4 linked regions of the Lepisosteus oculatus genome follow. The protein of the gene in region 1 binds, or shares a complex with, the protein of each later gene. Links are inferred from orthologs where the notes say so. Each region holds a gene or a part of one and is shown in the gene's direction. Other genes may lie near its edges. The genes, in order: gnai3, rgs2, grm4 and casr.

Region 1 (8,031 bases):
AACGGACCGGATGGGCCCAAAAGCCTTGTCATGATTGAACCTGCTCTTATGTTCTTAAGAATACTGGTCCCAGAACCACGCAGGATGTCTACATGCGCCCAGTAACAGGAATTGTGAAGGATACACAGTATATCACGATATGTGCAGTATATGTACACAAATGCACTGTGATGAGCTGCCAGTTCCCAGCTTTTCCGTAGCTACATTGTAATTAACCACACTAAAAACAGGGAAATTGTCATAGGAAGGAAGAAGACAAATTCAGGCAAAATGGGGTCAAAACACTGCTAAGTTTTAAGTGATCCCAGAGAGCAAGGGGAGTGTGAAAACAGGGTGTTCTTCTGAATAAATACCTTATTGAGAGGAATAGAGGGATCTGTAATTGGCTCTCCAGATGTTTTACATGAAAGCCTCTTGGCCTTTGCCAAAGGGAGAAGAGCTCATCCTTCCTCCTGCCACTCAGCTCTCCCTCCTGACTGCTGTGGACCTGCGCTCCCCCAGGGACCCCCAGGGCCCAGGGCCCAATTACCACCACAACGACATTCAAACGCTCCAAAGTGAGCGCTGGAAGTCTCCGGAGTGATAGAGGGAACGGGAATGCCCTGAGGTGAACTGAAGATGGGGTCACTCTCACTCACAGTGCATTAATGGGCTGATTCTCCTGGGGGCGGCAGAGAAGGGGCTTTCAGCAGGGCAAAATGCACAGCAGTGCTATTGCTGATGCACCGAGTGGGCAGCAGCAGCTGTGACTGGGATACATGTTCTGGTTCTTCAAGTTCTAGTCAGCGCAATCCAGCTGCAGCCCCTGTGTGCTTCACCCTGTAGTGTGTAGTTAAACTGATGGCTTGCACAGCAGCTGCAGAGGGTGAAAATGCTCATCAAATCTTTACAGCCTTTTCCAGTAATCACTCACACTTCTCTATGGGTCTATTAGCTAGGCCCTGTTGATCGCAGGTGGACATTATAGTTAGTGTTGTTGCGTACTGCACTTTATTTTTGATGAGTCCTAGTTGTGCTTAGACATTCTATAAATCAAATGAAAGTTTACTTATCAAATGCACAACAATACAGCTACAATACAATACAACTTCATTGCCAGTAGTTGCTGGTAATTAAATGTCTTTTCTGCCAGCTCACAAAAATCACACAAACACAAAAATCACTATAAGCAAGTGGAGAAGGTGGCGTGACTCTATAAATTCTATTGCAGGTCTTTGGATTCCAGCACTCGAGCAGGTTAATTAACACATTCAGCCCAGAGCTCCCTGTTCGACCTCTTTTGCACACCTCTCGATGTGTTACTGTGGCTCTGGGGTGCTGGACACTTTTCCTCGTGTGTTCTCCATCCATGCTGTGTGTGGAGGTCGACCCCCCTCTCGGAAACGCAGCAGCACCATTCCACATGCCTTCGGGTTCTCTGCGATCCGCGGTTACCATGACAACCCGTCCTCCATGACATTTTTATTTTCAGGAGAAGAAGGGGGAAGCGGGGACTAGTTGAAGGAGGAGCCCTGTGTTAAAAGACAGCTACTGTACCTCCCCCACTCCCATATCTCCAGTTTAGCTCGGCAGCGTTTAAGGACGTTCAGGGCCTCCTCCTTGAACCCTTCCGCTTGACTCACGCCGTGGGTTTTGATCCGGTTGTGGGCGCAGCCTCATCTTCCATCCCGGCGCCCTGAACGCGCCCTGCTCACCGGCCGGCCTCAGCCCTGCGCTGCTCCGCGCCGCGCCGCGCCGCCCGTGTCTTTAACTGTCCCGTCTGCACTGTAGTTTCGCCGGAGGCTAGAGTTTTCACCAGCGTACCTAATTCACACACTGTAGGTAAACGACACACAAAAGACATTTTCGTGTCGTTTCCGTTTCCCCCTGACCGATTTTGAATTGATGGGACATCAGTGAAAAAGAGGAAAGACCGTTTCAACCCTCTCTCTGGATTCATAAATATATTGAAATAACAAAGCAAGTGTGCACCTGATATGTTTTAACCTCTTTGAAAATAAAACTACAGAGGCACTACTAATATCCAGATCGTGGAGGGCCTTGTTTCTTCTGGTTACTGATCTAACACGAACACCCAATTAAACCATTTTATTTTCTAAATCTGACATATGTCATATTTTCTGTGGGTCTTTTAACAGGTGATTGCACAAGACCTTCTCTTCATTAAAGGTACAGTTAGCTATATTTCACCTCGGACCTTGTTTAAAGGTATAACAATTACGCGGCTAATTAATTTATTAGACCAACTCTGTAATCCAGAAGACCCTCCAGGAAATGAGTGTGAGACCCTTGTTCTAAAACATGGAGTATATTTCGTTAGTGCAGTAACAAAAGGGACTCTGGGATTACATTCCAGACCATTCAATTTCTTAATGCATTGCTTTAATTGGTCAATTCTGCCGCCCCCGGCTACGAGACTTAACTGACTGCTCATTAAGACGCACCTATAAAAACTGCAAGGCGGTAGGACTGGTATGGTCCAGAGTGATATAGGGTAGTGCGGGAGTGTTTGAGCAGAAGGAGGAAAGCGCACACCGCTGTCGATAGGGTCCAGATGAGGGAGGAGATACACCCACAGCGAAAACCCTCTTCTTCGATTATGTAACACCTAGTCTCGGGCGCCCGTATTTAGGAAGTCGGGAGAATAAACCGTATTGTCTTGTTTAGAAAACAGTTGTAGAAGACGCGGGGATCACGAAAACGTTTACAGAAGTTGTGCAACCTTTCAAACGCTTGTTTAAGAAATGTTTGTTGTGCAGAAGGTTTACACGATTGAACAAGTTGCTTCCGTTTAATCCTTGCTCACTTCACTGCAAGGAAAATGAATCCCTTTTCGTTTCCAAGCGGCTATCTGTACATTTCATAAACTTTTTCTGGAAAAAAACTCGTGAATAGAGCGAGAGCTGAGTGGCGCAGCGGATTGGGGTTCAGGATGAGCTTTCCACGCGTGTGCTACAAGATAAAGCCAGGTCTTTTCACCCGCGGCTTAGGCTGCGTTCAGCCGTTTCTGTGCTCAGGGTGGGTAGTATAGGCGGGACTGGCGGTGAGCCCTCCCAGGCCTCACTCTTCCCGAGTCCAGTCTTGAGCGCCTTGGCAGTATGGGGGGGAGCTCGCATGTTATCCCGTTCGTGTGGGTTTCCTCCCACCTCCCAGCGACAGGATCTGCACGTGAACTGGCCTCTCCAAATAGCCCCGGCTGTGTGAGCGCGCTGCTCTGTGCATCGTGGGTGCGGACTGTCCCGTCTCGTCAACTGGACGTATTGGGCAGGGGTTCGAGCTCTGGGGTCCTGTAAGGACGGCGAAAATGGGGGTTTGTTGTCTTCTCGAGGGCGTCCAGAATGGAGCTGGTCGGAAACTGCTTCTAAAAACAATTGCAGGGGATTGGACACTAGCGTAGTGAAGGGCATCGCCTTGTACTTGTTTTAAGTACACTGTTAAACGGAGACCTTTAGAGGTGACCACGGCGTTACATTTTCAGAACAGATCCGGTATTCTGGAAGCTGTCCTGCTGCCTTTTTTTAATAAGCAGCATCAAACCCAGTCTGTAGTACTCAGATTTTAAGCACGTTTTTTAAAAACGTATATATACGTTTATTAAAGTATCCCACGATCTTCTGCCAAACATTCATGACGCGCATAGAGGGTAATCTAGGTAAAATGCAGAAAGCTAAAAATGTTAACAGTAGATAAACGGGTATAGGCAAGTTAAGAGTAACTGTTAATAACAAGCTGATAATATTATACGGTCAGAATGGTTCTTTGTGTGTGTGTGTATGAGTGTATCTGCTCAGTACACTCATACTATATTTAATCACTGTCCCGAGAGCTCCTCTGCGCTTTCTCCGTCGGTCCACAAGACGGCGCTCAAGTACTTCAGACGAACTCGCACCGAGGGACTCTTGACAGAATACGGAGTCGCAGGAACAAGAAGACGAAACGTGTTGCATTGATACATTTAAACAAATGTAGAGTTGACTAACACTATTATGATATTAGTATTGTCGGTAGTAGTAATCATAGGAGCAGAGTATTGTTAAAAGTTAGGGGAGATTAAGATGAAAATGCTTTAAGAAAGCAGAGACAAATTCAACCTTGTCATTTTCAACGTGCGTTAAACATTTTAGCATCGCCCCAAGGAGAATTACAGGAAATCAGAAACCAGACGACCAAGACCAATTCAGACTCATTTCACAAAAGAAATTCAGAAGAAATATTTTTTTTAAATTGTCCAGCTATTTTAAAACGTCACCCTCTGGATTCCGTAAGATTTCCTCTGAAATGGGAAGGAAATGTCTTGCTTTTAAACGGTGGAGCAGTAAAATAAGGTATTTCATAAAAAGTTAATATCAGAAATCCATAGTGTATTAAAAGACTAGGTATATGTGGTACAATGATCAGAGTAATTTTCTACCGCAGTATACTTTCCAAACCGTCTACTGGTGTTGTGCTAACCCTGCTTTTGCAACACTTCTTTATAAATTCACTGCAAGACCTAAATTAGGCAAACGATTAAAGATTAACTTAATTGGTATGAGGCAGCTTTGTGATTTTTTTTAATCCACAATGTTTGAATGACTTTCTTAATTAAGATTAAGACGTTTTCCCCGGAATGTACATTTGATTTCTATTTAGAATATTGTGCGGTTTTCAGCAGACTCCTGGCATATCCCTACAAACTACACTTCCCATCACCCCCCTGCGCCCCGCTCGCTCATTTCCGCTTCCCGTGCAGTGGCTGCCCTCGTTTGCATACAATTCGATTTTTTTTCCTCTCTCTCTCTCTCCCCCCGACGAGCAACGGAAACGGCGCGAGACAGCTACACCAGTAATTTAAAACGCCAATTTAATAAGGGAGAAAAGTGTGAGACACCGATGGACTACTGTTTTTTAATCGGAAGGAAGATACTATAACGCTGTTAGTTTCTTGTGTTTTCGGGAGGGCTGCATTTTAATTTCCGATTTTGTTTTAGAGTTTTTTTTTCTTTTGAGCCAATGCTCAGCTTGTGAAAGCATTGGAGAGGGCAACGCCTGCTTCTCGGCGAAACACTGAAGGTATGCGAGGACACCACGGGATCAGGCCTTTAATTTTGCCCGTTATTTTATTTCGGGACTCGAGTTACCGTCATTAGGGTGTTCTTCTGTTTTCATCTCGGTTTTGTAACATTCGCTGCTTGCTTTCCCATGTGAGAGAGTCGGTGACCAACGCCTTTTTACCCCCACACCCTCCGACTGCTCTTCATTATTTTTTTTTTCTGTCCAAGCCCGGCAATCCCTCAGCCGTTGTCTTGGGAGAGAGTTTTTTTTCCCCCCTCCCCCGTCACTCGCTAATTTTTTGGGGTCTTGGGAATCTGGGGCTACCGAGATGGGGTGCACGCTCAGCGCCGAGGACAAAGCCGCGGTGGAGAGGAGCAAGATGATCGACCGCAACCTGCGGGAGGACGGGGAGAAGGCCGCCCGGGAGGTGAAGTTGCTCCTGCTTGGTAAGCCCGTCTCCGAGTGACCGGTCTTGGAAACCCGGGCAGGGGGGGATCGGTGGCCGTGATCGCTGGCCTCTGTCGCGGACAGATCGCGTCCCCGGTCGGTCTCCGCTGCCGCGAAAAGCGGGAGGCGGTGCCGATCGCGGGGCTGTTATCTGAACTTGTGCTTGTGGAAGAGTGCTCCGATGTCTCATCTGCTTCTGCGGAACAGCCTTGGGAACGAAGTGCTAGAGAAAAGTTGGAGAAAATGTTTCACGGGCGACACAGATCTGCCAAGTGACCGTGTCCGCACTGACCCCTGCGGTCCACACTGCCTCCTCTGTCGTGACATTTAAATGTCTTTTTCTTGCCAAACTCTGTTCAGACTGTCCTTTGAAAATATAGAAACTGATTTCCCATATTTTATTAAACGAGGCTTGTTTTTAACTGCCCGGAGAGCGTAATGCGCAATAGCTGGTCTCTTAAGATGCTCTGTCGTGTATGTGATTTCAAATCGGAACGTGTTTGCTCGGTCATTGTTTGAACTTTTCATCACGGTGAGACAGAGTCTAGCGAGTTATCACCCCAGCGAGTTGTCTGCCGTTCGCGAGTTTCAGAGGCGGTTCCAGGTCTGTGAGACTCGTGATGCGGTGGAACGGGAACTCAAGACAGTAATGAAAGCCTTCCGTCTTTATAGCGAACTGGGCTTTAAAACATCCCTCGGCACAGGGAAGAGGGCCAAGTCTCTGATGCCGCTTATTGACTAGACGTTTCTTTACTGCCCCCAAACAACGAAATAACACAAACGGGAAAACTGGGATTTAGAGAAAAAGATGGACTACAATAGATGGGAGAGCCATGCTTTTATATTCAGTTCGTACAGCCGGCGTTGTTGACAGTAAATCAGTTTGCCTTCGCTCTGTAAGCACTTCTCCCGGCGTTTGTACAGCTGTTGGGAAGCGAAATCCAGTTTTTTTTAGGGCACCCAACTGCCCACAGCTTGACAGGCACTATAAAGCAACAGTAGTGTGACTTTAATAGGCTTCAGAACCTTTTCTGGATTAAAAGATAAAATGAAGTTACTAGATCACCCAATCCGCTTCTGTTAATTATTAAAATGCAGGCTTAGGGGGATAAGGCTGTCCTGGTAGTTGTGCATTTTCCTCAAGCTCTTTAAAGTGGACTCAGCTCTTGTGTTGTTCCCTTGATGCTCTTCTACAGAGCTGTCAGACTCCCAGAAGAAGCAGCTTTCTGATAAAGCCTTGGAAAACATTCAACCAGTATTACTGTTACGTGAGTGTCAAACTGTGGGGATTGTGGAACCGCCAGTGGTCTCCGTGTCCTATGATGTCATTAACATTCCACTTTGTGGTCATGCTAGCTGATAGTGTCTTTCAGTGTGCTCTAATTTGTTTTATTTCAGGCCTGGTGCCAGTGCAAACAGCTATACTGCATTTGCATGGCTGCTGTATCAGGAGAGCCTGTGGCATCGGCAGCTACTCAGATTAGATCAAAGCTTTATGGAAAACTTTGAATTTTGACACTCGGAGACCTGCAATACAGAACATCTGTAGACACTGAAGTGTGTAGTCTTTGGAAACAGTCCTCCGCAGTTAAAATACATTCATTCTGATTCATAATACTTTCTCCCTAGTGTACTGTACCTGGGCTTATAGGGGTATAAGGCACTCTAGATATGTTGTTGAAGTGTAACAAAACGCGTTTCTAGACCTCTGTTCTGCAGCCTTACAGTAGTTATTATATAGAAAAGAGGGGAAAAAATAAATGAAGATAACCATTTCCCCTCCTTTCATTGCTTTTTGGTATTTTATCAAGTTAGGCCTTTCTAGCACATTACCTACAAAGATCAGCGAAAGCTAATGTAAGAGACTTAATTAGTTTTAAATTGCTCAATCCCTGTACTTTTGAAAACGCTCGGTGTCTTTCTTCCTAAAGGTCATGAAAGATCTGCTGGAGCTGGAGACTTGTTCTCTCTGCGTCATGCATGAGCTGCCTGTCTGGTGCTCTCCGCTCTCAGCAGGCTGTTGCTGCTACTGGAGGTCCTTTCCCGATTGCTCTGGGCTTTTACCATGCTTTGGTGCAAGAGACTGTACTTCTCCTGTTACCAGTACAAGAGGACAGATGAGAAAGTAGTAGTTTGCAGTCTTTCAGTAGAGTGTGCTGTTAGGTCCCATTCAGTCTTTCTTCAGTTCAGTACTTTATTGCCATGCGAACAAAGTTGATTGTATTTTTCTCTAGTGACGGTTGCATAAAAGCAAAAAAACACACTTATACATACAATATATTAAGGTACCTAACGTCTAAATAGATGCTATTTCAGAAGCGAGCACTACTACATTTGATGCTTTGGAACATTCTCCCCAAAGGGAGAAGTTTAAAAAAGGGAGTTGGCAGGATGGAAGGGGTCTGTGGGCATCTTCTGAGCTTTCTGTTTGATGCGGCTGTCGTAAATAGAGGCGACAGAGGGAAAATCGTGTCCGGTGATCTTGGAGGCTGTGTGCATGACTCTTTCCAGCTGTTTCCTCTCCCGGACAGTTGTATTGTTGTACCACAC
Region 2 (7,573 bases), on another chromosome or scaffold:
GGATTAATACAAAGCTGGTATTGATGTCAAAGCCTGTTACAGATATATTTGCATTACATCATTTAGGAAATGGAAAAAGTACAGTTTGTAGAGCACAGATGCTGTAAACACCTTGTGTAAGGAACCAATTTAAATCAATGACTTATGCATTGTGAAGCAGTGAAAAGCACTTTCAAATCCAAAATCAAATTAATATTGTTTATTTTCAGTTTTCCTTAGCAGTTTATTCAGTTCATGCCAGGTTACAAGCAGTTTGGTATGCTCTGACCATGCAAGTATTTAATGAGGCATTTTGAAGTTCACGCATTAATCAGCTGTAGGCGGTGTGAAAGGAAACAATTTACACATACTGTAAAAGAAGAAAAACAAAATGGAAAAAGAGTTTGTTAGTTTATGGTGGGACTGAAGAGGTGGTCTTATTTTAAAACAAATGCAGACATCTCTGCCTACTCATGTAATGCACTCACAGCTCGGCACACGAAAGGTCACAACTAAAGGTTTGCAGACTGCATACCTCAGAAATACGTGGGCTGTATTGTTTCCAATGCTCTTTCAAACAAATTACAAAGTAAATAAGCATTCTTCATATTAGTTGTGTTTCTTTTTAAAACAAACTTGAACATTTTGGTATTATGACATTCAAGAACCCCATAAATGACAAGCTACAAAACACAGTAAGTATATTTACTTTCAGGAGCATTTAATTTTTTTTTCAGTTTTAAGATCTAATATGAAAAATGGGGAAGAAGTCATAAAGTTGTTGGTGTTCATTTTCTTTTCTTTTTTTTTTCTTTTGACTTTTTCTTTTTGTTTTAAGAACATACAAACACAGATTCCCAAGTCCGCAATTGAACCCAGGCCCTCAGCATCATGAGACAGCAATACTAATACTGCACCACCACGCTGTCCTATGATGATAATGATGATGATGTAGTAGTAGTAGTAGTAGTAGTAGTAGTAGTAGTAGTAGTAGTAGTTTGCAAGATGTCAGAGAAAGATTTGTTTGCATGGAGTTAAATTGCAGTCATTATGTACAGTCAGAGTAACCTGAATGTACTAAAGGCTTTAAACATTTATAGATTTCAAAATTATAACAACTAAATTACATAGAATATTAAGGTTGAGGTATATCATCTTAATTTTAATACAAAGGAAAATGAGTCATTAGTGTAATTTTTTAATGTTTTCTAGTATAGTACTCGGTAGACTACGATTAGAGGCACTCCCTGTCAGACAGCAGTCTTAGTAGAATTTAATGATGGTGGACAGAGAGGCTCAAAATGTCCTAAGATTTTCACAATTTCTGATAAAAATAATTCCATTGTGATTTTCATTGTGTTGTGTTCCTTCTTTCTTTGACTGTTTTCAGTTTAGGGCTTTAATAGACTTAATCAGGTTTCTCTAAGAATTACCATCTATTTTCCCCTCTTGATAAAATTTTCAGTCCCTGGTGATGAGTGGCAGCCACATAAAATAAAACACCTTGCTTTATAGTAGAGATGGTGTTGCCTTAGTGATGCTCTGAGTTCAGTTTGCTCCAGACATAACTCTCAAATTTAAGTTAAAAAAAATTGTGTCATTTGTGTTTGTTCCAAAAATATTTTGCCATGTCTCTTAAATGCACAGTGTCGTACACTTAATGCAGGATTTGAGATGGTTTTGCAACACAGGCCAGCTTTGTGGAATGATCAGGATATTAACAGTAACTGCTGTTACTGTTGGTCTCATGGTGGCATTCCTAACCAGATTCCTTTTGCCCAGCTGTTCAGTTTGGAGGAACAGCCTGATCTAGCCTAGCCTATTGGTTGGGTGGTACTATACACTTTTCTCTTTGAAATAATCAACTTCACCCTGTTTAAAGGGACATTCACTGTTTTTTATTTTTGCACCCTTCTCCCGATCTGTGACTTTCGCCACCTTTATCCCCAAGACATTTTTAAAGCTTCCTGGTGTTCATGGACTATCTCATTGGGAGAACTTACAGAGACTGGTATATTTATGCTGAAAGCATGTGAACCACTGTTATTGCACACAGAGGCCATTGAATTGAACACGTAACTTTTCAAAGTAATTTAAGTAGTTTGTCAAAGGGATTAAATACTTAACCTAACAACGAAGTGCAGTGTTTTATTTTTCTTTCTGGTTTCTGGTTTCTGGTTAATGCTGACAAGATTAAGATTACAAAAATCACTGTAAAAGTGTATACATTAATTACACCAGGTGCACTTCAGGTGCTGTGTATCACTGCCTCCCTTATAAAATTCTTTTAAAATGGTAATGCTGAGGTGGTAACATTTGACACGATCAAGACAAAGTTCAGAATTTTGAAATCTAGACTGTTAACAGATGATTCTTTTGCAAAAATTAAAACAAAAAAGAAACTTTTTAAGTACTGTTGCAGAAATGCTACTTATTGTGAAGTTCTAAAACATTAACCTCCTTGTGACACAAACATTATTTCAGGGTAAAAGTGGTGGGCTCCTGCAGTTGCCGAAATTAACCACATCTTTTTTGTTTCACTGTAGCAATGACCTGTGGCTCATGAAGAAAACAGTTCTATCTTTCGACAGCATTCATTTTGTGCAGTATCTGTAACATTCAGTGGCACATGAAGCAAATGTGAGCTGAGATTCATGTTTTCAAAATGGAATGAAACCTCCTGTGTAATACAAGAGGCTCTCCATTGTACTTCAGCCAACAAAATGTTTGACCACAACAGCAGTATTACCTCTACAATCTGGGAATAACTCGTTCAAACTCAAGTCTGTCACTATCCTATAGCCAGTAGGCAGGAAGCTTGAAGTCCCTAGTGCCATTATTAAACTAACTGCATGGTCACTGCATAAGATTAATTACAGCTGGCTAGACGTTTCTCGGCTTAATTCACATTGTCAACTCCTCAGTGCTACAGGAAACCTGCAGGATACTGGTGTATTGACAGGGTGTGGCGTCATGCCCTTATGAGTTTCTGTTTAGGATTGCAGTTGGAAAGGAAATGATTGTCTAAATGAGTGTATGTCCTGCGTACAACTTTGAGGTGTCATTTTCCACAGGTCAGATCAGGAGCAGAGCCCACGTCAGTCTGCAAATTATTTGGTGATTATAATTACATCATTTGATAAATTACATATGAGATTATGATGCATGTTTTTCTTAGATATGTTAGTCTATTCATTTTTTAACCAGCTTTTCCAGTTCCTGGTCGCAGCGGAGCTACTGTGCTGGCCCGTTTTTGATCATTTTGAAATGTGATTTTTTTCATTTATCTCACTTCTAAATAGAGCCTGTGCCCTTGATTTGTTAGGGTTATAAATATTTGTCACATAAAATAACTGGCATTTTCATTTCACCTTTTCACCTTGAATAGGTCAAAGGGTAGTGTATTTCTACTGCGTACTATACATATTATTGTCATGGCCTGTTAGGAGAACTCTGACGTGGCTCAGAGAGTTGCATCAGTCACTATTTGTGCTTTGACCACAGCTTTTAATGTTCCGAAAAATCCTGTAGATTCATAAGGATGGTCATATTTTCCTAAGGGTAAAACCACTATAAAATTTTATGACTGTGTTAATATTTACCCAGGTTATACTGTAGTTCCCTGATTCAAACAATACTGTTAACAGATCCTCTGCACTTAACACATTTAGCTTTCAAGGAAAATATACATATTTTCAAACAAAAGTATAATCAAAGTTTTTCACAGGGGTTTTGGGCAGTCAGAGGTGACAGTATTTGCAATAATTAACAATTGAAAATGAAGCTACAAATGAAAAATAAGTAAAAATATGAGGGCTTAAAAATCAGGTAATAGGACTTCAGCAGGAACCAAAGTAGGACTTTGAACTCTGTTGTTTCATCTCTGATTTTTTTATTAGTCGTCCCCATGAATGAACAACAGAAGAACGGACTTAAAATGAAACCTTTACTTCATGGGCAAATTGTCCCCCACAAAGATTCAAACTTAAAAAATAAAAAATAAAATTTAAATGAAAAAATGAAAAGGCATAAAGGACCTTTTAAAACATGAGAAGCACATAACTTGTCAAGAGAAGTGAGCATTGTGTTTTCCATGGGAAAAAAAAAAAGGTTTCTGTTTCTACCACAACCAACTATAGACAGACTCCAATGCCAAATTCACCAGTGTAGATAGCAAGCATGAAGAAACTGAATTACAGCTATGCTCATCTGATAAAGCAAAGTGTTAATTTTCTGTACTTTAGCAAGAGTTACGCCTGTGCTTTGCCTGTGGCAGTACTTTGTGTACTTTATACGTCACAGCTGTACCCTAGTGAGAACTTTTCTTACTCAAGTAACACATAGAACAATTTGTCACCAGGCAGCCAATGGTTTTCCAGAGCAGGTACATGTAAATCTAACACCGCCTCCATGTCTGAAACGCTACACAGAGGACATAAAGCTCCACACAAACCAGATTGAAAAAGACAGTGAGGTCTGTAGGAAGTATTTGTGAATAAAGGATGCAGAGTACATTATTTTTGCCCCTGTTGTACAGCTCAGAACAAATGGATATGGCTTGCTTTAGCGGTGAAGAGATGTCAGAGGTCCCAGTTGAAAACAAGAGAAACAAGTAAGTATCTAAATAATGATAACATTTGCATTTTCACTATGATTTATAGATTCTTCTACAGTGTGCAAGAGTGGAAAATATGGCATAAATATGCTTATATAATTTTTAGCAGTACATACTGTACAATGCAGTGTAGTGTTTAACTATAATCATATACTACAACTAGGAACTAGAGGTAATAATAAGAAGAGAAGCTGTATACAAGGACAGATACAGATACCTATAATGTGGCATTTTGTTTCCAATAACAGACAAAATAACTGGAGATCAAGGATAAGCTACTTCTTGCAAAAATCCTCCTCTAAGGAAGCCCATTCCTCAAGACGTAAAGCCTACAGGTAACATATACAATCAGATTTTAAACTTTTTGAAAGATATGTTTAAGAATACATGTTAATTATATATGGCTTACTGTGGGATTTTAATTTTGCATCTGAGTGTTATTGATGACACTCAGTGAAATTTCATTCTAAAAAATCATGTTCTTTCATGACAGACCTACAGTTGAAGAAGTAAACCAATGGAGTCAGTCTCTTGAAAAACTTCTGTCACATAAATGTAAGTTTTGTTTTCTTTCTTTATCATGTCAAGGATTTTGAAGTGAATATGCTAGACATCAGAGCGGGGCCTAAGTCAACAGGGCACAGGAATTTGTTTCTGTCATTTGTCTCTCAATTAATATATGTGCATTAACAGAAAAAAGTGAAACAGAGAAACAATGCTACACACATGCTGCAGTGGGCTTATGATTAAAGTGGCTTTGTGTAAGCTTTGTGTTACTGCTTGGTTTTGCAAGTACGTTTACAATGTTTTTCTGTCTACATTATAGTATTTGTTCGATAAGATGTTTATTTTTTCCTTCCTTTTAAAAGTATTATTTTCTCTCATGTATTGCAGATGGACAGGCTGCATTCCGGATATTCCTGAAATCAGAGTTCTGTGAAGAGAATATCGAGTTCTGGCTTGCCTGTGAAGATTTTAGAAAGATCAAGTCACCAGCGAAGCGAGCCTCTAGGGCAAATACAATTTATAACAAATTCATCAAGAGTGAGGCCCCAAAAGAGGTCAGTATGCATTTAATGACATTATTAAAAAATGTTTCGAATGGGTAGCTGCATCAGCATGCGTAGGCTTTAAAGGAACAAGTAATAGGTTTATTCCATGCTGAAAATGTTGTTTCGGCCATGGAGCTCACACCTGAAGAAGGCTCCACGGCTGAAACGTTGTGTTTTCTTTCTTCTCTTTTCAGCATGGAATAAACTTATTACTTGATTATTTAAAAATGACTACATTACTGACACCTTTAATTCCTACATGCTCTACTCTCTTACTTAAATATAATTTCTTTAAAAGTGTATTTATTATATATGGAATAAAATTCTTTAGAAATATTCTGACTTCTTATATCTGCTATTATTTATTTGTTTCAGATCAATTTGGATTTTCATACAAAAGATACCATCATCCAGAATCTTCAGGTGCCAATGACCTCTTGCTTTAATGCTGCACAGAAAAGAGTCTACAACCTAATGGAGAATAATTCATACCCACGATTTTTACAGTCAGAAATCTACAAAGAACTGTGGGCAATATCTCAAGGGAAAGGGAAATACCTGAAATCATGAACCACACCGGGGGCTTGCATAGTTTGAAAGCCTAAGGAGCCATAGCCTATGGCTATGGAGTTTGCATAGCCAGATTGCAGAAAATACTGTACTGAAAACAGTATCCACATCACCACAGAACTCTATGTTTTTAAAAGATCCCTTGTGAGTCCAAGGAGAAAGTTCACTGTGTGATATGAGCTGTTTTTAAAACAAAGGTAATAGGTGACCATAGAGGATGACTATAAAATTTCAGTCATAAAAAGCTTTAGGTAAAGATGCATGTAAAACAAACTTAATAACAATTTATGTATTTATGTATATACTTTCAATTTCAAGTTATTTTGTAAATTAAGTAATTCTTCCATGAGCAGTACAGTAACTAGAAAAAATTATAACCAAAAAAAGAATATATGTTTACACTAAAGTGCCTGAAACTGTATGAAAAGTCAAACATATTAAGTTAATTTGTGGAATGGTATATGAGCAAGTTACATTTTCTAGTACTTTTTCTGCTGGTCCACATGGAACCCAATTCATACCGCTAAAGACAGGTAATCACTTGATTCCAAGCATTCCTTGACTTGTAATAAGTCATGGCCAAAAATAGCTACATACTGTACATCCCATCACAATGAACAGTTTACATACTGTATAATTACTGACACAACATTTGTTTTCCAAATACGGATTGATCTTAAGAAAGAGCCCGTAAACAGAGTCCGTAAACAGTGTTTAAAGGGTAACTCTACACTTTTCAGAAATTATAATTTTAATAAGAGTTTTATTTCGTTCATTTACATGAATGATTTAATTCTTTATCTAAGACATGGCTTACATTTTAGTATTATACTGTAATTTGAAGCATTTAAAAATTCATTTCAGGAACAACAACTTCCTGTTTCTTTGAATAACAGAATTTAAATGGAAAATGAATAAAGAGTGTGTTTCCTGAACCTCAGGCAAATAAGTCAAGAATGTGAATGTACTGAATTATATATATATATATTCTTTATTATATTTTTATTTTTATTTTGTATCTTTTATTTTCTTTAGAATTTTACAAAATCACAATTGAGGTTGATTCTCAAGAGCTCATACTTATTGAATCCCCAAGTAAATGTTAAAAACACAGGAATATGTAACTGTAGGCTGCTATGTTTTTACATTAACAATTACATTTGATGATTGGATATATGACTTTCTGAACATACAGTAAACAATATTTTAGACTCAAACTGAAACAGCAGCTGGACTGCAAGTTAGTTATATTAACTTATTTTTATACTGTTGTAACAATTTACCTGGTCTGTATATTTTGTCTTCTAAATACATTTTCTTCATAATCTTGTACACCTCATTGTTGATTCAGTGTTAT
Region 3 (7,142 bases), about 11 Mb from region 1:
TTGGTGTGCTTCACTCATTACTTGACCAGGAAGATTGTTATACCCACTCCAGGAAACACCTTGGGAATTGCTAGGTATTTGAAAAGCCTGCATTCCAGGTTTATTTAAAGTGAAGCATTCAATTCATTGTCAACAACCCATCTGAAGCCTGATAATAGAGGACAATAGCATCTATTTGTCAACACCTTATGAATGTAAATGGTGAAGCATTATGGATACAGATGTATTGAACATGACACTTGATTTTCATGTTAAAATTGAATCCTGGCATTGGCATATTCCATTTGCAGTTAGATTTCAGATGTGGGAGTTTGTAAAATCTTACTAGAGAGCATCATCAAACACTTATCCTCTTACCAAAAACAATCTAACTACCCAACAAAGGCTTGCTCTGTTCTGTTTGTAGTTGTTAATGATTTTGACTCTGTATTTTGAAGTACAATATGTAAAGTATACAGTATCATGTGTAGGCGAGAGATCTACAGCAAAATGCAGCCCAATGCAAAGTACAGTGGAAAGCACTAAAAAGGAGCAATGTGTAGTGAATCATGCTTTACAGTACCTTGTGTTTCTTATATTGCACTCTAGCATTGACGTTAAAAATGGAGCAATCCCTCTATCTGCTATCTGAGTCAGCATTTATCCTGGGAGAGTGTATTAATTATTTATTGCAATGATATTTTGGCAGTCAGTGTGTGTGGGGGGGTAACTTTCTCGTGATTTGTACAAAGAATATAGACCTTTGCAGCATACTGAAACAAAGGGAAAAAAACTGGAGCACTCTGAATTGGTTTAAAAAAGGAAAGTTTTAAAATAGCAAGATCAATGAATGTCTTAAAATCCAATTTTTCAATATGTATTGTTAAAATGCGATCAAATTAACAGAGATGAGTGGAGATTAGCTTTGCTGTTGCTTTGCCAGTTTGATCTTCTGTTTTTTCCAACAACTTTGAAGCCAGCTGTTATTGAATAGAGATTAGACATTAAGACACACATCTGGCATAAAGATGCTTTTGGGTATTCAGTATTTTGAATAAAATGCCTTTGGGGGCTTGAGGGATAAATTGAGTCTGTAGTTTTATACTACATGCTTAATTAAGCAATGAACCCCTGTAAAAAGGTATTTGATAGCATCTTAATTGAAATGATGAGTTATTTCTTTTACATCCTGAAGCATTCAAGATACAATTGCAGCTACTGTATACAATACCTTGAAAAAGAACCCTTATGTCCCGTCCCCCCAAAACAAATAAAAAGTGACAAAAAATAGCTAGCCTATGCATAGGCTTAAATACTTCAAAACTAAATCCTAAATATTGATTTATCCATTGTGTTTTACACAGAAAGAGGAAATAAAGTGCAGTCTGTAGTAGGACAAAGTTTTTATTTTTCTTTACAACAGCGATGGGTAACGCCGATGTCCAGCAGGGTCCAGCAATTAGATTAAATAGATCGCGCCAGAGACGTATTCGTTCCCTCTGTATAGGCATACAAAGTTCAGGACTGCCGAACTATGTCGAAGAATTCGGAACCACAACAATTCAGGCAATAAAATATCGCACGCAGCAACAAATTAAAACGAGAGACTCATACAGTACACTTCACACGTGTTAATACAAGAAGTTGTAATTAACTGTAAACAGCGAGATATGTACACGTTTATTTAACGACTCTTTTCATTCTTCCGGTTCAGTTATTCCTTCTTTCAACACTAAACTCTTGGCAATGCCTGCGTACTCGACATTGCAGTAAATGCTTTTTTAATTCAGCAGCGAAAGACTTGGCCGTGCACTGAGTTATGTAACTCGAGAAAACGTCACGAATGCTTTGCCGATACTGTAAAAGCCAATAATGCACGACGAATTTGAATTTTAAACGTGAATTCGAGAGGAAGTAGATAAAGAGCAGGGTAAGTGGGGAGAAAAGAAGATAACAGAGTCGGTTCCATGATTTAAACTTAGATCAATACCAAATGGAGGCAATTCATGGCACTAGACGGCGCCTTCAACCTTCAGAAGAAAATAAAATTCGTTAAGTATTGGGGGGGATAAAATACTCTGTTCTGCATCAACATGTCTGCTATAAGTGTTTTCTCTCCTATGTCTGTGACTCGTGTCTCTGTCCCAGAGGCAATGATCCTGTTCCAAACAGTGGGAGGGACAGAGAAACCGAGGAATCTCCGCAATGATCATTTGTTCTGTTACTTTTTCTGTTAGGTTCGCTGCGGACTACCGTTTACCAGGCATCAGGTCAATATTAAATCCCTTTGAAAGGGATTAGATGGATACAATGTCTTTAAAAATACAAGAAGACAGGGAAAGGATTAATGACTTCCTTTCCTTGCGTGACATGTTTCAGAAAATGTATCCTCGCATTTCAAATGCTCGGACTAAAATGCTGACAAACTGAAAAGTTTCCAATTAAGGGATTGCCAAATAATGCGTTAATTTAAGCTTTATGGCAGAGTAAAAAAAACGAAATTCCGCCGTTTTGAGTGATTCCGAGTACTATGATAGATCCTATGAATTTATTTCACTGTTCGAAATTTAGGGGACCTATTACTCGCATTTTCTTCCTCAATACAGTCCGAAATATAAGACCCTACTAGCAATAGGACCGATTGATAGTTGAACATCTGAAATTTCGAGTAGGCTACCGTTAAAACTCATTTACTCGGGAAGCCTGGCGATCAAACACTAATTACAATATAATAGCTTCAGGAACAAATCTAAGGTTAGACAAGAATCACAGAACATCTACCGGTCTTCGTCGACGACGCGAAAAGTTTAGTGACGCCAGTAAAAAAATCACTGACTTGCTTTTTGTACTCGTAAATTAATTCAGTGTATCGTTAGCGGGCAACCATCGAATAGATTCAATATCAATTCGATTTAGCAAGATACAGATGTTGGGAACACAGTATAATTAAGTGTAGATGGGAACACCATACCGAACCACCTGATTATTTGGATGAATTTCAGACCGTTTACAGTGAAATTTGAAGAATCAGTGATGGGACAGAGATTATTTCCGACATTTTAGTGGACTACACGTGGACTGCATTTAGGTTCATTATTATGTTTTGCTTGCTGGTTTTGAGGTTTTGGTTTTGATCCACGCAATCCCCTGAACGCGTAGAGGGTTAATTGCTTGACTCTGATGAAACCTTATTGATTTATGTGGATGATAAATATTGCATTATGTGCAGTATGCAGTGAACGGTGCTGATAACAGCAGACCCCTCTGCACATCTGTGTCCGGTTTGAGCGATAAAGGTTCAGAGAGGAGAAGCGTCTTTTCTCGGTCACTCAAACGCCACCCCACCCACCGCTTCTCTCTCGGCTACAAGCAGCCTGAGCCTCCGCCGGCTTGATAAATGCGAATATCTCGGAGTACAAATGATAAGTAAATCAAACGGCTGCTAGCATTTGCTGACATTTAATGCACCAACATTTGTTTCACTGTTGTAAAGGGGGGCGCTTTTCAGAGCAGAAAACAAATCTTCTTCTCCCCCTGCGTTATTTATTCGTTTTTTTTTCTAAAAAAATCAGTGTCTTGCTTTTTTGCGCTAACGTGCGCGGACTCTTAATGTCTGCTGCCCCACCTCATTTATCAGCTGTTTGCCCGCTTCTTGATCTCGGTATCCTAAGCTAAATGCTTTAACCGAGTTACTCTTTTTTTGTTCCCACCTCATTACACTCGCAGTTGCTCGAATATTTAATCCCTTTTGGTAGGATACACGTTGCTCGATTATAGCGGTCAGAGATTGACCCACGACACGACACCGATTCATGTATGGAACGAAGCAGGTAGCACTGAGAGAGAAAAGGCGATTAAACTGAAGTCACAAACGCAGCACAGGAGAAAAATACTGTTAAAGCGCGTAAAGCACACGTGTATTCCGCACAGAGACCGAAAGGGAGATATATATATATATTTGGTTACACTGAGTATTAATTAATCCCGATGACAGCATTCTGCTGCTAAACACGGGAGACGCAGGAATGTTGGTTTGCAGTTTTTCTGACCCCCAGTGTATTTAATCAGGCGACCCTCGTTAGGTGGAGGCCCGGTGCGATGCACTAGGTGGCTAATGACATGGTATTAATTACCCCAAAGATTTTTTCGTATTGAGGCGGACCTGTCTGTATTGCAGCTCATTTCTTAACAGTCACAGCCACAGTACCTCGTTCTCTTCCGTGGACAGTTTCCAGGGCAGTTGGAGCTGGGATCACCCAGCAGTGAGCAGTGTAACACAGCCCAGGCGACAGCTGCATAATTTCAGCGATGTACTGTAATAACCATCCAGTGTAGTGGCAGCGGCAGTAGCAGCAACAGCAGCCGTGCAGCGTTAATTCTTTTACCGAGGAGTCCATTGAAAAACACCGCTCAACGCACGGATTCACAGATGGGTAGAAGTGGACGCCTGTGAACTTGACGCTTTTATTATAAATATTCTATATCACACCTGCTCGTGATGTTGTACGGGTTAATACAAGCTTTTTAGTTTCATTCCCTTAAAGCATCTCGGTTCGGACATAGCGGCTGGTGTCTTTTGGAGAGCATTTATGTTTCCCGTCACCCAGTTAAAAGCGCATAAAAAATCTACTGACTCCAGCGGCAGAGCCTTGCAGTTTATTAAAAAACGTGATTCATTTCGACATCAACCACCCCTGGCTATGAAAACGATTAAGTTATTCCTCGATTGGGAAGAGCTCAGCACCATTCCGTTCTAGTAAAGATTGAGAAAAGGCACATTTCGGATTATCCTGTTGTGAGAAAAAGACGGTTTACTCTGCTTAAAACACAGAATGGACACCTGTGGGACTGACTACCTTCTTGTTGATTGCGAAAGTCGAATGGGATCATTAAAACCATAACTCGCTACCGTTTTACGCATTCCGACTTCTTGATAACTTTGAAAAGGAAACGGCAATTTCCGAGAAAGTAAACAGGGGCGTCTTCAGTTGCAAACCTGTGTGGTAGCAAATGTTTTGGAAGCACGGGATGACTAGAGAGAGGAAAACTTGGAAAAAAAATTAATATGTGAATTTCCCTTTGATTTTATTTTCCTGCGATTCCGACGGTTTTTATTGTAAAGATAGCTAGGGTAGTAAAAATCCAAGAATAAACGTATCAGCATCTAGCAGACGTCTGTTTATGCGGTTGGGTTTATTATAGTTATTCGCTTATTCGCTTCGGGTGCATTTAATTTCAAATCTGCTCGGCTAGATCTACGATCCGCTGCATTGACTTCTTAGTTCAGCCCCATTCCGGCGGGGGAGTGCGCTATGCTAATATCAGTCATTTCTCATTGCCACTAAATCTCTGTATTACAAGATTAAGTACAGCGGCTTCACACAGGATTTCATCTGGTTAGTCGTAAAGGGCTAATTTTTAATATTACACGCGAGTGGCTCTGTAGAACCACAGCTGAGTATAAAAAAGCCAAAAGGAGCCAGGAATCTGGACCTGCCTGTTAGCGCTTTTTTTTCAAGCACCACTTTTCGATGGACAGCGTTAAAACAAACTGGCGGCGTGTACGGCACTGCTCGAGTTTCTTTCGGATCTGTGCACGGTGGATTGAGTGAACTGGAATAGAAGAAGACAGCGTGCTGGGAGATGGTATAATTATTTACATCACTCCAACGAGCGAAACAAGCATCTGTGTTTTGCACCCCGACAGCAATGTGTGTGTATAGGTTAAACAATCCTCCGCAGGGCCAGCGATAGAGTCAGAAACGAGCGTGCTTTTTGCAGCTCGAATCTTTGAAATCAAAGCGAAGAAGAGGTACAAGATGCTCTGGATTCAACGTAGGGCTGCGAATTCTTGAACGCGGAGCCTCATCGTTTTGTTTGGATTGTGAAATCTGACCCCCCACACACACCGGAATTCAGTCCAAGGTAAGGCGTTTCTTCCACAAACCGGCACTTTCTTGACTTGCAAGGAAATCCGACAAGGTACGCTCTGACATCGCAGAGCGTACTTTCAAGATCCGGAATTAGTTGACAACAGAGGGAGTGTGTGTCGGCAACTGAGAGACTATGTATTTTCCTTGGCTGGGTTTTTATCTCGCAATTTATAAAGATACAGCGCAAATATCGTATGTGAAAAGCATGTACCATATTATACGTTTAATTGCATACGTTTTCCTACTTTATATAGACTGCTTTTGTCTTTTAGGGAAACAGTGTCTACTGTAACATGACATGATTTAGACCATAATCTTTATAATCATTAGTTACAATATGGGAGTCCATTGGATAATATCAAGACTATTGCAAAAATTACATTCTATAATGTAAAGTGCTGCTACATTGCAATGTTTAGTCGTGAATATAGTCTCGGTGAAAGTTTAGTTTTGCACACAAATTCGAAAGTTTTCAGTACTACAAATTAGTTTTATGACCAGTTACTGCGATTACTCTAACATACCCCAAAGCGTCGGCATCGCGTCTCAATTGTTTTTAGAAATATTATATTGCTAAATATGCCCAGAGACATGAAGGGCGAAAGGAGTTTTTACTGGTTAGTTTCAATCTCTGGTAGTCAAGCGATAAGAAACAGAAGCTGTCCAGTAAAGATAAAAGATGTGCGCCTGTTTTACTTCTCATAAAATGTATTTTTTCTGCCTTTCCCCGATTTGGGCATAGTCGGTCTTTGATGAAGCAATTTGCATATTTTTTTCAATACAACACCTGCTGAGGAGCCAATGCAATTCATGTGTACCCCCTCTTCTCTCCCTTGGTCTTTTAAATACGAAAGCTGTTAATCCGAGTCTCAGTTGACGTGTTCACGCCCCCTGCAACATAGTCAACATCAGGGAACAAAGAGAAATTCTCAGGATTTGTTTCCAAGTCGTGCCTTTTTTTCCGCTACCGGAGGTATGTGCAGAAGAATTCCCTCTAGACATTCTGAAGCGCATAGGCTGCCTCAGTTGACGGAGATCGCCGCAGATCCTTGAACAAGGAGCCCAGCGTTCGGCTTTGCTCTCGCCACTTTCAGCCTCTGCCTCTTACCCGCTTTGCCCGTTCTCTCCCGCTTTCGTCCACGTCTGTTAGATTCACCAGTGAACTTGAACTCCGGAAACAAGAAAATGTAAATAGATGATAATAAGAAGAATTAAACATTTCAGTGACGT
Region 4 (7,617 bases), about 36 Mb from region 1:
TGTTATTTCTTTGGTTTCGGAAATATCAAGATCTGCATCTGCAGCGGTCTTCCTCTTTTACTGCAGCTGTTGAATTTCCTCACTGTGAAAAGTATCCAGAGTGAAGCACGGCTACAATACGCAGAACTGTGCCCATGTCTGCTTTTCACATTCGGAGAGTTTTATTGTCATGACTGATGAGCAGGGCCAAAGCAATAACAATTAAGGTGACATTTACAACCGCAACATCATAAAATTACCTGAGAGGCTTACTCTCATCCTGAGTTTTATAAAGGAGTTTCTTCCCCTCCTACACCAGTAGGACTGAAAGCTGTTCTGATTCTGGCGGGTCTGTAGATCTGATTTGTTATTTTAGGAAAAGAAGGTTTGTCTAATCTCCTAGTAAGTTTTATACAATGAAGCAGTAATTGCTTCTCTGTCTCTGCAGGCTGTGCGGGCACCCAGACCTTTTAAGTGTTTTTGCATTCATTTTCAGTTTGATGGATCCAGGCCTTTTGCTTTCAGAAGTGCACCGTTTTGAATGCGCACATCTGCATATGTAGTACGAGTATTTAATCCTGAATCCCGTACTCAGTGAATTCATCCTTGCACGTTGTACATTGGGGATGGGCTATTCTGGTGCTACAGTGTATAGCTCATAGTCACTTTGTGATTGAAGGTATGCAGGAATGGTAATATTATTTGTCTTCATTTGTACAATTTCTAGTCAAGAATACAGCTTCAAAATTGATTGCTGTTTTTGTTGTTCTCCTTCATGGAGAAAAACAAATTACTTTCTCATTCTCTGTAATAATGAAGATCCTTACTCTTTTCTCAGTGTCTCCTTGTCAATGGGGTTGCTTCATCGAGTGTTGACGAACCGATCAGTCAATGTTGTTGTCATTTGAGATTGCTTTTATTTTCAACAATGAATTGATTTTTCATAAGTAGGAACGCAGACCAAGCTGTTGTAAATGTTGAGCTTTCTTTACTTTTCCTGACTGTGCCTGAGGGAAATATGACTGATGTTTCTGTGACTTAATCAGAAGCCAAGAACAGATCAGATCTCTAGCTGGATATCAAATTCAAGACCATTTTCTTCTTCTGTAAAGAGGAAGAGCAATCAAATAAAATGTGCAATGTGCAGTCAATGAAATGAAATTTATAGAAAAAGAGAAATGTAATAACAGCTTGGTGTTTTAGTTGTTCTTTGTATTTTTAAAAATTAAAATAGCGTGTTAAGATTTTCCAAATGTGTTATTTAAGAGGTTGAATTATGGTTTAACAGCAAATGTGCTCAGTTCCATAGAATTGTCATGTTTTTACCTAGTGATGCTGTATTGCACAGCTTCTTCTTAAGAATTAAAGTACAATTTTTACTATGTCAGGTTTCGCACACTAAGTGTGCTTGCATTGTAAGCAGCAGATTAAAACTGAAATTGATTTTTTAAGCGAAAAGATTCCTGGACTGATATGGGAAATAATGGCTTTGTCTTTTATACATATATAATAAATCATTATAGCACTGTATGGCAGAAACATAGATTGTTGGGCCTCTCTCCCAAGTATCCAGTCAAGATGTTTTTATTTTGTGATGTATCACTATATGTGTTCATTTGTTCCTTTTTTTTTAGATAAAATGTGATCAAGAGGCATCTTAATTTTCTACCTGTGCCTGTTATATGTTTCTACAGTATAAACTTCCCTTGGTTGACTCTTTCCTATATAGTATCTATGTGAAACTCACTATTTGGTTGTGTGTTGTAAATCTGTAATTGTAATGGCATGTTTTAATCAAAATTAAAAAAAAATCATTGTATCGATACCTGATCTATTTGTTCCACGTCAGTCATTTTTCATATTCGTCTTTTTCCTTCCTTTATCTCTGTGCTTCAATGTTCAAGAAGGGGATCATCCCCATCCATGAGGCCATGTGAAATCTTCCCCACCTCTTCACTGCTGCCCATTGGAATCCAGGGACGGGATACCACTGGCTGAGGGAACTGAGGATCAAACTGCTAATTCCGGAAGCACATCTTAACACTCCTCACATCAGCAGAGGGAAACAAGGAAATGTCAAGAGCTGCACAGAGTGCAAGTTTATTTTATTCTCAAAACGATCTCTCAAGGTCTGCAGATTTCATGACGGAGATGGAGATTCTGCTCATCACTCAGCTTCTATCCCTCTCAGTCCAGAATTCCCTCGTGTCATTAGGCCCTGAATTTAATGATTCACCAGCTGACGTCATCCTTTAAGCGAGCTTGGTGGTAAACAGGAAGAAAAATAGGTTGATATATAATGCTTAAGACTAGGTTCTTCAGATTTTAATTGGTGAAGCAGTAGAGTAGACAAACACTGGTCCTGGAGGAACGTTGTCTCTTCTGTTTTTTGCACCAGCAGTTTTCCTAATGACAGGCTAAAGGATTTCAGTTTTCTACCTGGGGTATATTTGTAAATTTACTTTCAATAATTGATATAACCCTATCCCAGTTCCTGGGCCTTTGAACTACCCTCATTCAGGTGTGTAGCCTGGACATCTGGAGAAGGAAAGAAGTCTCATTATAGGCATGTCTGGCGCAGTGTCACTCCCAGTGTGTCTTTTACAGTGTCACTTTGTGTGGGCGTGACCTGACCCAGTGTCACTCTCAATATGGGTGTGTCTGATACAGTGTCACTCTTTGTGGGAGTGATCTGACTGAGTGGCACTCTCAATATGGGCGTGTCTGATACAATGTCACTCAATGTGGGCGTGTCTGTTACAATGTCACTCTCGATATGGGCGTGTCTGATACAATGATACAAAGGAGTTGAAACCTAAACATGCAAAGTGGATAATTAATTAACACTGGAGTGCAGATGTAGAACTCAGCTGGAACAGAAATCGGGAGAGACAATCCTCCTTTAGGACCAGGTTGGAAACCACTGGTGTAGCCTATATCTGGAGAGCTTTGTAGTTCCTGTCATCAAGCCAGCAGCCATATCACCATGCAACTCACAGCTGGCAGCCCACTGAAGCTCAGCAGGTGTAAGCCTGGTCAGTACCTGGATGGGAGACCTCCTGGGAAAAACTAAGATTGCTGCTGGAAGAGGTGTTAGTGGGGACAGCAGGGGGTGCTCACCCTGCGGTCCATGTGGGTCCTAATGCCCCAGTATTGTGACGGGGACACTATACTGTAAACAGGCGCCGTCTTTCGGATGAGACGTAAAACCGAGGTCCTGACTCTCTGTGGTCATTAAAAATCCCAGGGCGTTTCTCGAAAAGAGTAGGGGTGTAACCCCGGCGTCCGGGCCAAATTTCCCATTGGCCCTTACCAGTCATGGCCTCCTTATAATCCCCCTCTCTGAATTGGCTTCATCACTCTGCTCTCCTCCCCACTGAGAGCTGGTGTGTGGGGAGTGTTCTGGCGCACTATGGCTGCCGTCCCATCATCCAGGTGGGGCTGCACATTGGTGGTGGAGGGGATCCCCATTACCTGTAAAGCGCTTTAAGTGGAGTTTCCAGAAAAGTGCTATATAAGTGTAAGCAATTATTATTATTATTATTATTATTATTATTATTACCTACTGATATCATAAGTCATGTAACCAAGACAGGCTCACTTCGTACATTGCCCTGATATCAGCAGAGGCTAATGGCTGTGTGATGCAGGAGGCCGGAGATTCACGTGTAGCCATGACGATCTCTGGCAGCGAGCGGAGATTTTATCCCTAATATGATGGGTAAAGTAAATACTCACCTGTCTGTTTCATCATTACCTAATGCAGTGGGGAGTGCAAGTCGCAATAAATACTGTTACTTGGGTAACGCAAAGCTGGACCCAATCCCCTGTTGTGGTAGCCTGTGTATTTAGGAAAGAAATGTTTTTTTTTTTACTTATTTACCACACTGTAAAACTCCACGGGGGGAGCTGAAAAGTTGTAAGTTAATTACACAACCAGCTTTTATGTCCTTTTCGGGAAATAAAAAAGAAAGAGGGATACATAAATATTTGTCATCTCTGAGCAGGACAAGAAGACTCATTTGAAGTGAATGCGTGTGTGTGCTTCAGGTGGCCGGCTTGGTTTTGTGATGGGGGCACTGGATCTCCCCGCTGAAGTTACATCGTGGGCTGCTCGGCCTCACTAGCGTGGCTCCAGAGCAGTTATGAGATCCACTGAGCCCTGGCCGTGAGCGCACAGCGGAATAGCCGTGCACCCCGGGGCTGTGTGTATAATGCCGTGTGTGCTGTTGTTACAAGGTGCTGGAATAACGTCTGATCCAGTAACAGGCTGTTCTCACCAGTTTAATGTGTTAAACACACAGGGCGGAGGGAGGGGGGCAGCCCTCTCCCCCACCCCACCCCCCTCCCCTCACGGCAGCACTCAGACATGGATTGTAATTTCCACAAGACACAGGACAGCACGCCAGGACCAGCTCAGCAGGCGATCGCCTTTTTCCTGCGCGCCTCGGGTGGAAGATCCCTCCTTCCGCGCCCGCGAAGACAGCGCGTCTCATCCCCCCGGCCGCCCCGCCGCGTCGGCTTGGCTCGGCTTGCGGAGCGGACTTCGCCGAAATGCGCTGAAGAGCCAGCCTGCGCTCGGGCATCGTCTTCGGTTAATGTGTAACCGAGGTTACCGCTAAGCTGCCCTTTGCTGAAAGATACCGTGAGAAGAATTAATGCTGGAAGTGAACGAAATTGATGCCACAATCCTAACACTATAAACATAGAAGGCTCCAGTATTACTCGTGTCGTGTCATTTGGGAGCATTTTATTGAGGTAAGGTTATTTCTCACTTGGATTCCACTTTCACCGCACGAAAACCTATTAAAACTTCCTGATTATTCTTGAAATATTATTATAAGTAGTTGCCTAGGGTAACTAGGGAATTCTCAAGAGTCTTTACTGAAGGACCGAACTAAAGCTATTTGCCCGAATTGCTTGTATGTCGTGTGAAAAATGAGAGTTTAATTACTGCTACAGTTTCAGAGATTTTTAGCTAGTGGTTACAATTATGAATCAGCACCTTGAAGGCAAGAATGGAAACTTTTATGAACGAATTGTTTGAACTTAAAAAAAAACTTCTGTAGTGTGTTTTAAATTTTGTTCTCCAGATATAGTTTTGTCTCACTCTGTCCGAGACAAAGTATGAACAAAACCTACGAAGTATAACCCTGAAATCGATTTCCTCAAAATTAAGTCTATAATGCTTCATATTTTCTGTGTCGAATGAACAGCCAGTTTTTGTTTTCACAGCGCTGAAATTATTTACAAAGTGCTCAATAATTTGCATTTGGCAGCTACAGTCGCATTTTCTAAAGGGTATTTCGATATTTTGCGTCTCTGTGGAGCCATTGGCGAGTTTCACGTCTTTAGTCGGAAACAGTGTAAGACTCGGGGTGTATAATGACTTTTCCCGTTTCGTGAATACGTAGTGGACGGGGCTTCAGCACCTGAAAGTATTGCTACCGCATCGACTTTGGTCCGCAGCTTGGTACCAGATCAGCTGTCAGTATACCGGTGCCCACACCCCGTCTCAACACTGGCTGCTCCTGTCCTCTCCCGATATGCCCCAACACACCAGGGGCTCTGGTCTGCAATTAAACCAGCGCTTTCTAAAGCCTTGGAACAATTTCACTCTGATCAATTCGAAATGATTTGTCAAAATAAGTCATCTTGGAGTTCTCAAATATTTCCTTCAACACGTTGGGTTCCAGTCTTGAGAAACTGATGGTTTAGGGCTCTCCAGTTCCAGCAGTGGCGACGGCCGTCTTATTACTTTAATTATTTGCACAACCTCAAATGGAGCTTTTAAGCAAATGTATTTCCGTTTAAAAATAGGAATACTTTACTTATCTACTTTCCTGTTATCTGTTAATCTTGTCGAACATACATTTTCCAGAGCTATAATAACAATAAATATTAGGCATAGGGACAATTAAATGAACCTATATCGAGACTCTGGGTTTATCTATTTGCCTTCAAAGATATATTTGAATAGATATGTGTATAATCACCAGAGTCTGAAAGACCAGACGAGACAGCTGGCGCAGTTCTTGCAATACAGTGCAGTTTATACTGCCATCGGTTTCTGCAAGCCATCAACAAGATGAAACACACGGCTTGGATCAAGTCCAGAACAGCGCTATATAAGTGTAAAGAATTATTATTATTTATTCAGTCTTCTTCCGACTCTACTGTACATTTGTAAATACTAAGTGTAAGTTGTTTAAAGGAAGTATGCACGTCCATTCTTCCTATTCTGTAGCATTTCTTTGATCATGATTCAGACAGATGACAAAATACACACACTGCCTGCGCCAGAGCTGTCCTGCGCTGTTTCTCCGTGTCTGTGTACCATGGACTGTCCAGACAGCGTGTGTGTGCACGGTAGGTTTCACCCTGCATTCAACAGCAACTGAGAACGTTCATTTTATAATGTAAAACACTTCACATCGCTTGTTTTTTTTATATTCTCTAAACTCTACATTGAATACGTCGGATGTAAACTGAGTTTTCCGCTGTCTTTGCAACATACAAGTCAGCATGTAAAGTATCTGCCAAAGCATGCTCTGTTCCCTGACAGGATTAGGGTGCTAAAATGTTCTGCAATGACCTAAACATCCAGTAGTTTCTTCTACTCAGAAACCGGAAAAATGAGAGCTCAAAACGAATTCATAAATGTTTCAGGTGTAAATGATTAACAGGTGAATATACAATCTGTGTTGGTTTAAAAAATCAAGCTGCTGTTCTACCTAGAGGAGAAGGACAAAAGGAGTGTCATATCAATAATACACATTCTCCGTTTTTGCATGATCAAATTTCCCTTTTGGAAAGACGTCTTCTATAATAACACCACGGATGTATTGATGAAGTGACCGCAGCAGTCTGGCTGTGCTCTGCGCATTCTTGCCACATACATGTGGTGTGCGATTGGTAATCGGCAACGGTAATCAGCCTCTGTACAATCTGTGTTCAATCTTTTTTCCAGCATCACAAGTGGCAAGGCTTAGTTCATTAGCACACTCCTGCCCCTGCATTTTTCCAACGCAATTAGTCCCTCTCTGCAGGTCAATGAGACGTGGCAGGGCGCGAATCACACCAGCGCCCAGGTGCTGGCAGAGGCCTGGTGTGGAATAAGGCTACAGGGATGTGACTGCCTCTCGGAGCGCCGATCGTTGTCCTTCGCCGCCCCCCTCCCTGCCCCCTCGTGGGGCTCCACTAAGGGACAGGCACGTCTCTTGCACCAGCGGCTTTCGCAGGCCTCGTGGCTTCTCGACGCTGTTCAGATAAAACAGGGCCCGGTGCCCACCCCTTGGTATGGACTCCAGGGACATGTGGGGCTCAGTCTCTGCTGCCTGATTGTGTCTCGCTTCTCCACAGTGTATACCGTAAATAGGTGTGAGAATTTTCTGAGTCCCTTTTCATAATGTGATAAAAAATGTTTAGAAATATACATAACACAGGATAAAAAAAAACCCGCAAGATGAACAACATGTAGAAAAAAAACACTTCACTAGGCAGCAACATTGCGAGCGGATCTCAGTATAATACAGTATAAATTAAGGTCACTGAACATCAGTAATACCATTTCCGGATTAATCTCTGAACTCTGATCATGAAGCAAGTAATTGTTCTCTCCTCTGACGTGTCTCCACT

Evidence for each region.
Region 2: the proteins of gnai3 (region 1) and rgs2 are in contact, whole or in part, in a crystal structure (PDB 2V4Z), measured with the Homo sapiens proteins. The link is inferred for Lepisosteus oculatus from reciprocal best matches to the Homo sapiens genes GNAI3 and RGS2. Residues at the interface, in NP_006487.1 of Homo sapiens: Val179, Lys180, Thr181, Thr182, Gly183, Ile184, Val185, Gln204, Ser206, Glu207, Lys209, Lys210, His213, Ala235, Glu236, Asp237, Glu238; in NP_002914.1 of Homo sapiens: Glu104, Phe105, Glu108, Asn109, Glu143, Ala144, Pro145, Glu147, Ile148, Asn149, Asp151, Phe152, Leu180, Asn183, Ser185, Arg188.
Region 3: the proteins of gnai3 (region 1) and grm4 are in contact, whole or in part, in a cryo-EM structure (PDB 8JD6), measured with the Homo sapiens proteins. The link is inferred for Lepisosteus oculatus from reciprocal best matches to the Homo sapiens genes GNAI3 and GRM4. Residues at the interface, in NP_006487.1 of Homo sapiens: Ala31, Lys32, Val34, Lys192, Asp193, Leu194, Thr219, Phe336, Thr340, Ile343, Ile344, Asn347, Leu348, Cys351, Gly352, Leu353, Tyr354; in NP_000832.1 of Homo sapiens: Pro616, Lys619, Ala620, Gly622, Arg623, Glu624, Arg676, Ile677, Ile680, Phe681, Gln683, Gly684, Lys685, Arg686, Ser687, Val688, Ser689, Ala690, Ile694, Ser695, Pro696, Phe781.
Region 4: the proteins of gnai3 (region 1) and casr are in contact, whole or in part, in a cryo-EM structure (PDB 8SZH), measured with the Homo sapiens proteins. The link is inferred for Lepisosteus oculatus from reciprocal best matches to the Homo sapiens genes GNAI3 and CASR. Residues at the interface, in NP_006487.1 of Homo sapiens: Ala31, Lys32, Gln304, Glu308, Lys314, Asp315, Thr316, Lys317, Glu318, Ile319, Tyr320, Thr321, Phe334, Asp337, Ala338, Thr340, Asp341, Ile343, Ile344, Lys345, Asn347, Leu348, Glu350, Cys351, Gly352, Leu353, Tyr354; in NP_000379.3 of Homo sapiens: Lys644, Ala645, Asn647, Arg701, Val702, Val705, Phe706, Ala708, Lys709, Pro711, Thr712, Arg716, Trp719, Phe801, Ile869, Val872, Arg873, Thr876, Ala877, Ala880, Phe881, Lys882, Val883, Ala884, Ala885, Arg886.

What each region holds. Positions count from the first base shown.
Region 1 is NC_090700.1:39,983,795-39,991,825, forward strand, and holds the start of gnai3 (guanine nucleotide-binding protein G(i) subunit alpha), read left to right. Parts: upstream 1-4,769; 5' UTR 4,770-5,362; coding exon 5,363-5,480; intron 5,481-8,031. UniProt on the Homo sapiens protein: Heterotrimeric guanine nucleotide-binding proteins (G proteins) function as transducers downstream of G protein-coupled receptors (GPCRs) in numerous signaling cascades.
Region 2 is NC_090704.1:12,399,007-12,406,579, reverse strand, and holds rgs2 (regulator of G-protein signaling 2), read left to right. Parts: upstream 1-4,389; 5' UTR 4,390-4,481; coding exon 4,482-4,591; intron 4,592-4,842; coding exon 4,843-4,929; intron 4,930-5,087; coding exon 5,088-5,149; intron 5,150-5,488; coding exon 5,489-5,655; intron 5,656-6,021; coding exon 6,022-6,216; 3' UTR 6,217-7,548; downstream 7,549-7,573. UniProt on the Homo sapiens protein: Regulates G protein-coupled receptor signaling cascades. Inhibits signal transduction by increasing the GTPase activity of G protein alpha subunits, thereby driving them into their inactive GDP-bound form.
Region 3 is NC_090700.1:29,443,854-29,450,995, reverse strand, and holds the start of grm4 (metabotropic glutamate receptor 4), read left to right. Parts: upstream 1-4,078; 5' UTR 4,079-5,904; intron 5,905-7,142.
Region 4 is NC_090700.1:3,911,489-3,919,105, reverse strand, and holds the start of casr (extracellular calcium-sensing receptor), read left to right. Parts: upstream 1-4,553; 5' UTR 4,554-4,737; intron 4,738-7,617. UniProt on the Homo sapiens protein: G-protein-coupled receptor that senses changes in the extracellular concentration of calcium ions and plays a key role in maintaining calcium homeostasis.